2 separate regions of the Mus musculus genome follow, and region 1 is reported to be linked to region 2. Evidence: microRNA targets listed by miRTarBase, many of them from high-throughput screens and not tested one by one. Region 2 holds a microRNA gene; the other region holds the end of a gene's coding sequence.
Evidence for each region. The annotated mature microRNA mmu-miR-7212-3p reads UAACACACACGUCUCCAGGUC and lies in region 2 at 2,452-2,472, shown strand. An mRNA with a match to its seed (bases 2 to 7 or 8) in the 3' UTR can be bound and repressed. Matches are read on the target gene's strand: a 7mer-m8 pairs with bases 2 to 8, a 7mer-A1 pairs with bases 2 to 7 and ends in A, and an 8mer does both.

Region 1 (6,808 bases), not on the chromosome of region 2:
TCCCACCTGAGTCAGACCTTCCCAGAAAGCAGCACCCTCACGGACATGCCCAGAGGTTAGTTTCCATGGTGATTCAATCCAATCTAGTTGACAATGAAGACTGATTATCAGAGTCTTGGTTATTCGATGGTAAGAAAATTAATAATAATTAGCCATGTCGGGGCTGGTGAGATGGCTCAGTAGGTAAGAGCACCCGACTGCTCTTCCGAAGGTCAGGAGTTCAAATCCCAGCAACCACATGGTGGCTCACAACCATCCGTAACGAGATCTGACTCCCTCTTCTGGAGTGTCTGAGGGCAGCTACAATGTACTTACATATAATAAATAAATAAATCTTTAAAAAATAATAATAATAATTAGCCATGTCACAGGATCGCTGAGAAGAATATAAGTGAAAATGCTGCATGTAAAGTGCTTGGCCCAGGCCTGGCTTATAGTTTAGTTGGTTTTAACAACCAGTAACAAATTTTATTTATAAAACTCTCCGGGGAGTCTGGCTGAAGAGATGATGACTCAGTAGTTAAGATCATTGGCTCCTCCTCCAGAGTCCAAGTCCCAGGACTCAGGTCTGGGGGCTCACTGCAGTTCTAGGGGATCTAACGCCCTCTTCTGCGCACCATGAGCATGGGGCACAAGCGTGCTGCACAGGCAGACACGCAGGCAAAACGCTCACAGGCATAAAATAAAATTTTTAATTAAAAAAATATCTTCTGCCGGGCGTGGTGGCGCACGCCTTTAATCCCAGCACTTGGGAGGCAGAGGCAGGTGGATTTCTGAGTTCGAGGCCAGCCTGGTCTACAAAGTGAGTTCCAGGACAGCCAGGGCTATACAGAGAAACCCTGTCTCAAAACAAACAAACAAACAAACAAAAATATCTTCTGTGAATGAGAAGAATGTGCTGCAGAAGTAGTAAAGAAAGATTTCTTCAGACGTTTTGAAAGATGGTAAAGAGGACTATTGGAGGGGAAAGAAACTGGGCTCAGCTCCCAAGTACATGAACAAGTGGAGACTTTGAGCCAGGAGCAGAATGGAAAAAAAAAATTCTAAGCTAATTTTTGTTTTGTTTTGTTTTGTTTTGTTTTGAGACAGGGTTTCTCTGTATAGCCCTGGCTATCCTGGAATCACTTTGTAGACCAGGCTGGCCTCAAACTCAGAAATCCGCCTGCCTCTGCCTTCTAAGCTAATTTCAAAGCTAGGCTAGAGTAATTCTTAGTAGACGTATACTAAGTAGGATTCTTGCTAAAGGCAGGCAGGGTAATGAGCTAGAAAGTAAAAAAAAAAGAAAGAAAGAAAAAAAAAATACCCCCTTTGAGTTAGTGTCTCCTGAGGCCAAGGAGCCTCAAATTGCTACATAGCCAAGGATGACCTCGGCAGTGCCTTCCTCCTGTCTCTGCCTCCAAGGGCTAGGATTAGGAGTATGCTCCACACCCGGCTTGCTCAGTTCCGAGGATCAAAGGCAGAGCTTTGTGCTGATCAGCAAGCACCCTGCCGGCTGAGCCACCCGCCCAGCCCAAAGTGATGAACTGGCTCCAGTACTGAAGGGGATGAAAGAGTGAGAGCTAAACAGACACTGGAGAGTTCCAGCTCACACCACAAAGCCAGGGCAGAACTCAAGGCCAAGACAAGGACTCAGAGCACTCCCACCCACATTTTGGTCCTGGTCCAAATCTAAAGAAAATCTCCTCAGAATTACAGCTACTCAGAGTACGGGGCATTTTCCACCTGAGAGGCTAAAGGATGTCAGCTGCAGCACATAGCAGGAGAGTGGAGGTGTCATGTCATGTCCTTAGCATAAAAAACCGTCAAGGTTTTCGTCTCTAGGACCTCTGGTAGAAACCCTAAGTCAGGGCTGGGGTAGACAGCTCGATTACAGGAGGAGGAGACCGTCCAGTGTACACGAAACTCTGTGATCCTCAGCACCACAGAGAAAAGAAAGCTTTGATCTGATTGTACACGGGCCATACAAAGCCAGTGTTGTGTGATTCTAACCTGCTTAAGCCTGTGTTGCTTTAACATGCACTCCCTGTGGAGTGGAGGGACAGAGTGCTCCCTCTGCTCCTCCCCTGCCGCTCCGTCGCTCTGAGGGTGGGCGAGCACTCAGTCAGGACTGTGCTTGATGGCATGTGTGCATTAGGGTAACGAAGAAGCTGGACACCTATCAGGAGTACAAGGATGCTGCGTCCGCCTACCAGGAAGCCTGGGGTGCCCTCCGCAGGATACAGCCGTTTGCGTCCTGGATCAGAAACCCACCCGACTACCACCAATTTAAATGAACTCTTGCTGGTATCAGGACCCTTCGTATCGGTCTGCCTCTCCCTTCATGCTGAACGAACCTCTGCTTTTCTGGTGGTTAAATCCCAGGAGAATGAGCTGCCTTCTCCCAGAGCGCTCGCTGCACCTCTCTGGTGTCATAAATGGACCGCAGAACCTCAGCAATCTATACTTGACTGGAGCAGCTCCGTGCTAAAATAGCCTCTCAGTAATGCTCTTGATGGCTGCCTTCAATTGTGTTTTATTGGTTCTTTAAAATACAGCATCAGATGCTTTTAAAGTAGCCTGCAGCAGCTCTGGTGTAGATCTCCTTACATTGATTCAGCAAGGACGCATTGGGCTGAAATCATCTTAGGGTGCTGGAAGCTTTATAGCCTCTCCCGGACTCATGAAAACCATGTATTTCCTGTTTGCAGCCTTCCTTTGTAACCATCATCACTTCCCAGTCCTCAGCAACTAGACATGGTTGGAGTTAGCTTTACCATCAGGCTCAGCACAGGACTAGCCTCGGAAAGCTCTGTTCTCAGACTTACCAAGAAAGGTTGGTTGGTTTGGGTTTGGGTTTGGGTTTTGGTTTTGAGACAGTCTCACTTTGAAGCCACCATCATTCCCCACCCCTCTTTCTCTTTCTCTCCTTTCCCTTTCCCCCTTCCCCTCCCCCTCCCTTCTACCTTTTGCTTGAGACCGGATCCCTCTCTCTATAGCCCAGCCTGGCCTTGAACTCAACATGAAGCCAAGGGTGACCTTGAACTCTGATCTTCCCACCTCTGCCTCTAAGTGTCACCTCAAACTTTGCTTCCTGGATTCTCTTCTGAGCAATGTCATGAGGTCCACTATAGTCTTGTAACTGCCAGTAGCCACCGTCTTTTCCTACCACACAGAGACAGCCAGCCAAGAATGAAGGCTCCAGCCTGCACAAAACCACATGAGGCAAATGCCTGGTTTGATTGTCTTTAGTGTCTTTATCTGTGTGGGCCACACTGTCGAGGTGTGTGTGTGTGGGCCACACTGTCACGGTGGGGGGGGGGGCACACTGTCACGGTGTGTGTGTGGCAGTAAGCAGCTGTATCAGCTGAGCAATCTTACCAGGTTCCTGTTCTGACTAAATTGTTTTCTTTTTAACTCAGTTCCCAAATGCCTTAATTTCCTACAACAAATCAGCAAACGACGTAGCAGCTAACCCTGTTTAACTGTCACCTAGGAGAGAGCACTCAGCTTATTCCCACCTGGAAGCAGAAGCTCTGCTTGCTACTCAATGTCACTGTGGTTTATAGTGTTTTGTTTTGTTTTGCTTTGCTTTGCTTTGCTTTGCTTTGTTTTTCCACACAGGGTTTCTCTGTGTAGCTCTGGCTATCCTGGAACTCACTTTGTAGACCGGGCTGGCCTCAAATGCAGAGATCTGCCTGCCTCTGCCTCCTGAGTGCTGAGATTAAAGTTGTGTGCCACCATGCAGTGTTCTTTTATGAGATTTTTATATTATAAAGACTTGAATTAAATGTGAAGTAGTAACATTTTTTAATTACTTATTTCACATCCTGACTGCACTTTCCCCTCCCCTCTCCTCCTAGTCCTTCCTCCCCCACCTCACCTTCCCCTACCCCCATCCACTCCTCCATTTCTCTTCAGAAAAGGGCAGGCCTCCAGTGGATATCAACCAACCATGGCCTAGCAAGTTGCAGTAAGACTAGACAAGGCAACCCAAACCCAGTAGGAAGAAAGGGTCTCAAAGAGTAATATATTTTTACTCCTAAAGTTATAATCTGTCAAGTTTACTCACACCCTTAGTCACTGGCATCTGGGTAGAAAACACTGAAGGCTAACCACTAAAGGCAACTTCCCTTGAGCTTCACTTACTGTCTCAAAGCGCTAAAGGTGGTATTTAAACATCCAACAGCCTGCATCCTAGTTTATGCTCTTAAAACCCAAGTTTACACTGGGGGGTTGGGGTGCATGCCTCTAATGCCAACACTTGGAGTTCCATGTCAGCCAAAGCTGTCTGTCAGAGACAGAGAAACCCTGTCTCATAAAGCCCCAAAAAAGAAAAGTTTAGAATTGTATGTATGCCTTAACATCACATCTCTGTAATCCTGGCAAGTGCTTGCTTGCTTGCTTGCTTGGTCTCAGACTGTGTCTTCTGAAACCTAGGCTGCCCTGGAACTCCTTATCTTCCTAAAATCCCAAGCCAGAAAGCAGCCCTCTCCATAAGTTATCCCACGTATCCTGTTTATCCTCAGTCAGGCAACATTGTCCAGTGTGAGCCTTGGGCCAAACCCATGAAGACCTCTAGAGAAAAGGTGGCTCTGATTATCATTTGACCTGTGTCCCTCCTGTGTCCTCTCTGGGCCCTGGCTGCAGCAAACCTGGTTTCTTTGGTAAAATCAGAGAATATGAGGACATTCATGCGTGTCCCCACTCCCCATCCATCCACTCCACTGGTGCCCATAGACCACCACCAGGAACAGGACGGCCAGCAGGACCCTTTGCCCCATCTCATCAGAGAAACTAGGAAGGGCCTTCCATATGGTAGGCAAATGCTCCAGCCCAACCACCAGTGCTACCCCACCCAGGGGTCTTTTTTAATTAATGTGAAGGATTTTATATTTTAAACTGTAGAAAAACTAGAAGCCCCTCAGAAATGAAGCTGCACAGGAATTGGAACAGCAACTCTAACCCATGCGTAATTCCACAAAATTGTGTCTTCAACTAAAAAAAAAAAAGGCAAATTTGGCTCTGGAGGAAAGATTACATTTACGTGTGTGCCTAAATAGGGTCTAATGTTATGACTCTGCGTGTGTGTGTGTGTGTGTGTGTGTGTGTGTGTGTGAGAGAGAGAGAGAGAGAGAGAGAGAGAGAGAGAGAGAGAGAGAGTTTTCCTCAGAATTTTCAGAACCTAATCTGATTCAGCCGTGTCTGCCACCACCTGTGTGCGCACATAGTTCTTCTTCAGGATGGAGGGATGCCACGTCAAATGCCATGCTTTATGGATTCCCCAGTGCCAGGCATGAGCTCACTGAGGAAGTTGCTGTGGAGAAGAAGGGGCTGCCCTGGTTGCCAGCTGGAGAGGTGCAGGCCCCCTGTCTGACCTGCTTGTGTCTGTGGCTGCTGGAAAGCTGCCTCCACCCAGACCTAGAACAAGGTTCCTAAGCCAGAGTTTTCCAGTTTCTAAACAACAGCCATCCTGCCACCAATAAAACCAGAACTTGTGTATCGTGTCTGTGTGTGTGTGTGTGTGTGTGTGTGTGTGTGTGTGTGTGTGTGTGTGTGTGTGTGTGTGTGTGTGTGTGTGTTTGTTCAGGAGCCCAAGCAAACCTTCCCAAAGGCACTGAGCTGGCTAACCAAAGGGAGTGGCTAGATTCAGAAAGAGCCAGGCAGGCTCCGGATGTACAGCCACACCATCCTGACTGTGCCTGAGCTCAGAGCCAGGGAGGCCGAGGTCGAGGAGAGAAAGTATTTTCTGAGCAGAATAGTTCATTGTATACCTCATTTTGCAGAATCATAGTTGCCTTGACTTTACACACAAATCTTTTTAAAAACATTAAAAAAAAAAAAAAAAAAAAAAAAAGCAAGCTAGGCAGTGTTGGTGCGTGCCTTCAATTCCAGCTGATAAAAGTTGAAGGCCAGCCTGGTCTACAGAGCTAGTTCCAGGACATTCAGGGCTACCTTCTATCCTGAGAAACAAAAGCAAAACCAAAAAACCGAAATTAAAACTAGCTGTGTCTGTAACTGAACCAGCCTGTTTCCCTGTAAAGCCATCCAAGTAGATCCCAAATGATTTTCAGGTGGTCCTGTAGCCCAAAGGACAGAGAGAAATGAGTCAGAGACGCTTCAGAGCTGGAGTAGGCAGCCTTTTTAGTCAGTATTTATTTAGACTGGGGACAGTGGGTGGGAGGCAGCACTTGGTAATGCGTGCAAGTTGCTACTTTCAGTCTCCTGCACTAGGAAAAACAAAACCACACGTTGCTTGGTTGGTAGTGTTTGTTTGTTTGGTGATGTTTTGGGAGGAGGCCCCCCGCTGGCCTCTAACTCTGTGATGTTCCCATCCTAGTTTCCCCAAACTGCTGTTACAGATGGGTGCTACCATGCCTGGCCAACAGTCAGGGTTTTACTTAGGGTATTAAATAGAGGAATGCAGATCTTGTGGAAGTTTATGAAGGTCTACAGTTTTCTGTGCTCCTTTTTTTTTTGTTGTTTTTTTAAATGTAATTATACCTCAATTTAGAATGTGTTAGAAAAAAAGTCCTTATTACTTGGAATCAGAATAAATTTGAGTACAGCCATGGATGCAAATGACATGATAGTACCAACTCTGCCACCAACAACCAGCTGTATGCTGGGAAGGCATTTAACCTTTGACTTGTGACCTCCATTCTGTTCTACAAAAGCAAGTACCAGCAACTAGGCTGCGCAAGTGTTTTCAAGTGTAGGGTAGGCTTTCTCATTTTTTTAAAAAGTTGTGTGCTGCGAATCAAACTCAGCATCTTTCCGCATGCTAAGCAAGCACTTGGCTCAGAGCTTTCCCTAGTTCCACTTTTTAGCA
Region 2 (6,808 bases):
AAGATCTGCCTTAGTAGCTCTGATCTCAGTATCCTAAAAACATGGCAGCTATACTATAGTTTGATGAATGCTCTTGACAGAGTTATGATAAGCATATGGTATGCATACATACACATACATGTACACATATATGTATATTTCTATATCGGTTGTCACCTATAAGTACTTTCTAATGGTATTCAATTTGAAGATGTTTTAAAAAGTCCACCAGAATATCGCATCCACTGGATTTGCCCTCATCTACCAACCATTATTGAAATTAATTGTGCTGTTGATGAATTGGGGCATGGGCTATGGGTTTTTTTTTTTTCCTAAAGAGGGACTGATATTGAATAGTTGGAAGTAGGAGCTGCCATTTCCTTAAGGGTTGAGCCAAAAAACTCAAGCAATGTCATTCTCAGAACCTCATGTTAGTTGAGTGGCTCAAGAGTCCCAATTGGAGGGGAGGGGGCAAACATTCCGCCCTTTACTAAGAAGGTCTCAAAGTGTTTCTCGGCCATTTCAGTTTCCTCTGTTGGGAGTTCTATGCTTAGATCTGTGCCCCATTTTTAATGGGATTATTAAAACTTTGGTGCCTAGTTTCTTCAGTTCTTTATATATTTTGTATATTGTCCTCTTTGGATATGAAGCTGGTGAAAAGGTTTTTTTTTCCCATTCTGCAGGTGGCTGCTTCATTCAGATGACACTGTCCTTTGCCTTATAGGTTTTCCGCTTCATGAGGCTCTACTTATTAGTTGTTGATCTTGATGCCTGTCCCAGTGGTATGAAGGGCCCATTGTCAAGTTCTCAGAAGCAGTAAAGAATGTTAGTGATACACATCCTTAAGCAATACTAAATAGGTCACGTCTGAGTCCAGACTCAATCCGTGCGACCGGACCCTTGTGCACACCCCAGTGGCCAGACAGAGCAAGAGAATCCACACCTCCCTAGATGGCAGCTCAGTTGTGTGGGAGGGGTGCAGAGTCACCTGGTCTCCAGATTTCCCAAACAACTCTGGAAAGGGTTCCTGGAGGGTCTATTCTGGATGGTGTATTTGTTCTCCCTGTTTCGGATGGGACGGCAGACTATGTGGTTAGCTTGCCTTGTTGACCTTTTCTAGGATTGGAGTCATGTTTGTGTGAGTGTTGTCACAGGCTTCAGTGAGTGAAAAGTATAGCTATCTCTCAGTATCTACAAGGGAGGACCTCCAAGGCCTCTCACCTTCATTCTGCGAGATGAAATCGGTTCTGTACAAAGTCAAGTCAGGCATAGCCTTCTCCCCTGAATATGGTCAGTCTGAATTCATTGTGTTCTTGGAGATGGACCTTGTGGGCTTGAAGGACTAATGGTACTTGTGGATTCTCAAGGGGAGTCCAGGATGTCTATAAGTACTTTCTAATTGCATCCAAACAACCTACCTTGTGAGGCCATGGCTCCCCACAGAGGTTCAGGGTCAGAACTTGCACATTCCTCTTATACATTGGTGTGGTTTCATCTTATTGGCACTGTGGACTTTCTCATTCCTATTTCTAGATCAAGAGGTTTAAAGGTTTTCGTGAGTGAATAAACATACAACCATCTCTTCCTGTCCACAAATATTGGTTCTAGTTTCCCCCAAAGACACCAAAGTTCTCTCTGGAACATCACGTGTTCCTTCTAGCCGTAAGGAGGATGCTGGAATTCACCTCTGAACATTCTTCACATATCACCATTGCCCTTCCCTTTCAGTCCTTCAGCCTCAGGCTCTCAGGGGGTATCCTCCAACCGTGGGTTTGCGGTTATGTCCCAAGGCACTAAGCTGCAAGAGCCTGGGTGGCGCTCACACTCCAGGCAGCTTCCCCTGCTTTGGTACGCATGTGCTGGGTGACAGGAAGCCAGTTTGTGTGCTACACAAATACGAATCTTGTGCCTAGGAGTCTCATATGGGGTGTGCACAAGTTGAACACACATGCAGACAGAGAACGTTAAATGTTTAGTCACATGATATTTGAACTTAAGACTGGAGAATGAAAGGGCTGCTTTCTGTCCTACAGACCAGTTAAGGGTCTGGGATTCAAATACAGTGCCCTAATTTCTCCTTTTTGTGTGTGTTTGAAAAACTAGAGGGCCAACGTCCAGGGAGGAGAGGTTATTTTGAAAATTGGTATTTCCTTCAGCCACCAAACTTCTCTTTCAACTGAAATCCAGATGTTTTAGTTTCTCTGTGTTTGGATGGCCCTGCTGCAGCCTAAATTCTCTCTATATAACAAGACCCAGTCCGAGAGAGGATTCAGAGGGAAAATTACTGAGTCTTTAAACACTGCGCATGACCTTTTTTTTCCCCTTCAGCAACTATTTGTGATGCCACCAGAAAATGGAAGAGGAAAAAATAAAAATGACTTCCTGAGGGAATATTGTCCTGGGGCCTTTTGATCTGGATGGGAATGATGTCATCTGGGGGCTTGTGTGGTAGGGGGAATCTGAGCGAGACCCTAACACACACGTCTCCAGGTCACTTTGTTTCACAGCCTCGCACTCACTCCTCCGTCCTCCCTCTAGCCTTTCCATGCTCCACGCCTGTCTTCAGTGACCTCCCTTCCCAGACAGCTGCTGCCTCAGAATCCCAGACTGAGAAAGGCAAGGGGCAAACCCTGGATGTAGCAATCCCATCGTACATCTAGGTCACAGAGTGTTCTGATGCTGAAATTAGGAAACCAGAGGGCAGGAATGTCCCAGCTGTCTCTGGAGATACACATAAGGGACACGGTGACTAGGAAGGCAGCGCTACACGGCTTTGCTTCTCTGGATCAATTAGCGTTCTCCTTAGGGATACAGATGAGACGACCTTAAAAGGAGGCTCCGAGAATCATCCAGATCCTCTCTTCTCCTTCAGCCTTATTTGTGTCTCGTTGGCATGCTCTGTGCATAATCTTCGCTTCCTGGGTAAACACAGCCAGGGCTATTAAGGATTTGGCACCGTGGCCTGTAGTAGTGTCTCAGAGAGGCATCACCGGACTGCAGCAGATTCTTTGCCCAGGGAGGGAGGAAGGGAGGGATCGAGAGAGGGCTGCAGTTGTGCCTAATATGGAAAGAGGTGATGGAGAGAAGCAAAGCCGAGAATGTTCCTTCTGCCTGGCAACAGCGAGTCGTGAAGGTTTTCTGCATGCCCGTCCTCAGCGTGCAAGTGTTTCAGGGGTGGAGACTGGTGCACCCAGCACTGGGCACACTCCCCCACACAATGGTGTTAACAAGATCATGTGATGGTGATGGTGATGGTGACGATGGTGCCCCTTGCTAGCTGTGTAAACAGAGCAGAGGCAACCACATGCAAAGATTCCTGACTCAGACGTGACATTTCCCTCTGAGCTAGTTGAACTAAGTGTTTCAGTTTGAAAACAAACCCATCTTTCCGCGGTGCATCTTAAAATTATGTCATAAAACACATAGACTCCACCCTTAGGTAAGGAGAGGGGATTAAAAATATACGTATGTTCTTAGAAAAGGCAGGTGTCACCTGCGCTGAGAAGGCTGCACAAGGATAGGATTCTACAGCGTACGTTCGGTAGTTCTGGGGTAGCCAGACCACTTACCGTGGAGGATGCGGTTCCCTCCATAGCTGGGTAAACAGAACAGGTTCTAAGCAGCCCTACTGCTTTCCTTCTGAGATAGTGGGAAACCTGCTTCTAGGAACTTACCTGTGTGTGCTAAGAAAGGCTCCGAGATGTGTATTTCATTGTAAAATGAACACACATTCGGAGAAACTATAGACATAGAAATAATAGATTTGCTTTCCAGCTTGTCTCAGACACAATAAACATTGGCCCTGACAAGGAAGGGAAAGAACTGCTCTTTCCTTTGTCACAAGAGAGGGGAAAGACAGGATAGGGAGCTTTTGTGTCTTGAGTTTCCCGTGGTTTGATGGTGCATTGCTTCTTTTCCCTGTGCCAGTCCCCCTTTAAAAATTATCATATATATAATTGGTCATTCCACTCGTTTACATCTCAAATGATATCCCACTTCCCGGTTACCCCCCTGTGCCAACTCTTAATAATCTGGAAGAGGTGTGTGTGGCTCTGATGAGGATCATGAAGTCTGGAGAGCGTGCTGTGACACATTAACATAGCCAGCCGCGTGTGGGAAGCAAGGGAACATGTTTGCCCCAGAGCAAGATCGAGAGGGATGACGATTAATTGATGCCTTCTTCCGCCTCTCTCAACTTTGGGAGACCTGGCAACTTTTCAGTGACTGTGATGGCGCCCTCACCTTCACAGCCCCTCATTAGTTACAGGGGTTCCAGAGTTTTAGACCTTGGCAGTTGGTATGCAGGCAAAGCCGAAGGTTAGGTGTCTCCTTGCTAAAGCCGGGATAAACCTCCAGGACAGGACTGTTTTGAGCTTTGCCTTCGCGGTGTGTTTCACAGCAAGCCTGACAGGGCTGCTTTGCTCGTGATACAATAGTTCATGTGCATGCATTTTACTTACCGTGCACTGCAGGATAGTTTGCTTATTTATTTATTTACTTACTTATTTTATTTATTTTTTCACTTATTCACTTTATATCCTGCTCACTGCCCCCCTCCAGGTTACTCCCTCCTCACAATCGTTCTTTCCATCCCTCCTTCTCCTCTGAGCCTGAGGGGGATGGTCTTCCTGGGTATCCCCTTTCCCTGGCACATCGAATCTGTGAGGCTAGGCATGTCCTCTCCCACTGAGGCCAGACAAGGCAGCCCAGCTAGAAGAACAAACCCCACGGATAGACAACAGTTTTGGGGATAGTTCCCGCTTGAGTTTTTAGGACCCACATAAAGGCCAAGCTGCACATCTGCTGTGTACATGCGGGGAAGCCTAGGTCCAGCCCATATATATTTTTGGTTGGTGGTTCACACTCTGAGAGCCTCAAGGGTCCACACTACTTGACTCTGTTAGTCTTCCTATGGAGTTCCTATCCCCTTTGTGACCCACAGTCCTTCTTCCTTTTCTTGCATAAGAGTCCCCAAGCTCCACCCACTGTTTGGCTGTAGGTATCTGCATCTGTCTGAGTCAGCCGGCTGGGTGGAGCGTTTCAGAGGACAGCCATGTTAGACCCTTGTCTGCAAGCATAACAGAGTGTCATTAAGTGTCAGGGACTGGTGCTCGCCCATTGGATGGGTCTCAAGTTGGGTCGGTTATTAGTTGGCCATTCCCTCAGTCTCTGCTCCATCCCCCATCCCCTACCTCTGCATTTCTTGTAAACAGGATAAATTTTGGGTCGAAAGTTTTGTTGGTTAGTTGGTGTCCCTCTGGCTCCGCTGGGGTTCCTGCCTGGCTACAGGAGGTGGCCTCTTCAGGTTCTATATCCCCAATGTAGTGAGTCACAGCTGACTTCTGGTAAACATTCTTTGGCCTGGAAGGGAGAGGGCTTGGAGAGCAGCAAGGGGTGGGGTCTGATCTGGGCGCTGCTGCTTTTCTCCCCTGTGTCTGCTTATCTTCTGGAAAACGGGGTATTTCCCTCAGCCAGTCAGAGGTTGTGGGGACAAGAAGCAATAGATACAGAATGCTAATGTAGTTTTTAGTACAGTCTCAATAAATAGGAAGGCTGCCCTTGTAGCAGGTATCTTCCTGGTTCCTGGTTTGGTTGCTGGGTTCGTCAGTGAGTGTCACTACATTCAAACCATGTTTCTGAAGCCCATGACAACCTGAGCTAGCAGGCCACTGTGGTTTGTGGGACAAATCTATTGTGTTGCCTGTTTTTGTAAGTCATGTTTTATTGGATCGCTATTATGCTTTTATTTAAATATATCCATTGTTTGCCCGCTACTGCTCTAATATGTAACTGCTTCCACCGTTAGAGGTGCTCGGCTTCTGAATTAGCGGTATTTATTATCCACACATCTCTTTGTGACTGAGCTGCTAACTGTGAGGCTTAATTATAAGTTATAAAAACTGAAATAAGAGATTCAAACGAGCGTGGTTGGGGTACGTTCTGCCCATTCTTCCCAAATAACTAACTTCCCTTTCTTCCTTTGGCAGTAGAATCCTGGTTTCAGCTGGAACATGGTCACTAACAAGTGAACTCTTTCTTAGACTGTCTTACAGTTATATGACCATGTTCTAGCTGGAAGAGGGTGAATGAAAGCTGTGTATCCAATGTATAACAGTTACATGACATTAGAGAGAAAGGGGATTGTGTTCGTGGCACTCTTTTTTTCTTTATGGTGATGATGTGAACGAGTTAACGGAATAGCTAAAGCAAAGTCTTAGACCATTTGGAGGAAGTGTCATTTGAGAATAACTAAGCAAAAATAAAGGAAGGGTCCGGGATTCTAAGCATGGACATGCCCATATTGACCCTGGACCTTTAGGTTTAGCTGTCACATAGAGAAATGACCTGCTTTCTTGCTTAAGCGTCTATTACTCTGACATTTGGTATAGTAGGCAAACACATCTTACCATGCGTAGTTGGATATTTCTATGAGAATTAAGTTGAAGGCATTTGAGAGAGTTGGCAAGAGTAGGTTGCTATGAAGTTGGATGTGGAGGGAGGTGGAGGATTTGGTTGAAGTGTGTGTGTGTGTGTGTGTGTGTGTGTGTGTGTGTGTGTAGGCATGAATATTATCAGAATACATTGTATGAAACTCTCAGAATTAATCACCATTAAAAAACATATTAAAACAGTATAGACAAAAATAATCACAAAGGGTTGAGAGATAAATATTAATTGTCATTAAGTTTTTACTCATCTGTAAAAAAAGTGAAGTTAGAAATTAAAAAATAACAGAATTAAGAAATTAGTACATAAATCTTTGTTCCTAGCTCAACATTGGTTCATGACTTTCTAAGTCCCTGGCACTTACACATAAGCTCCCCACTTT

Region 1: the mRNA of Adat1 is a reported target of mmu-miR-7212-3p. The part of its 3' UTR that is shown has no 7-base or 8-base seed match.

What each region holds. Positions count from the first base shown.
Region 1 is chr8:111,963,871-111,970,678 of GRCm38, reverse strand. It overlaps Adat1 (adenosine deaminase, tRNA-specific 1), which reads left to right. Exons shown (of 10, transcript NM_013925.5): 10 at 2,135-3,781. The coding sequence ends at 2,273. Among named protein-coding and RNA genes, the nearest start is that of Adat1, 25 kb to the left of the region's middle.
Region 2 is chr15:25,945,816-25,952,623 of GRCm38, forward strand. Mir7212 (microRNA 7212) reads left to right here and starts at 2,412; the gene lies at 2,412-2,472. The region is part of intron 3 of Retreg1 (reticulophagy regulator 1); the gene reads left to right.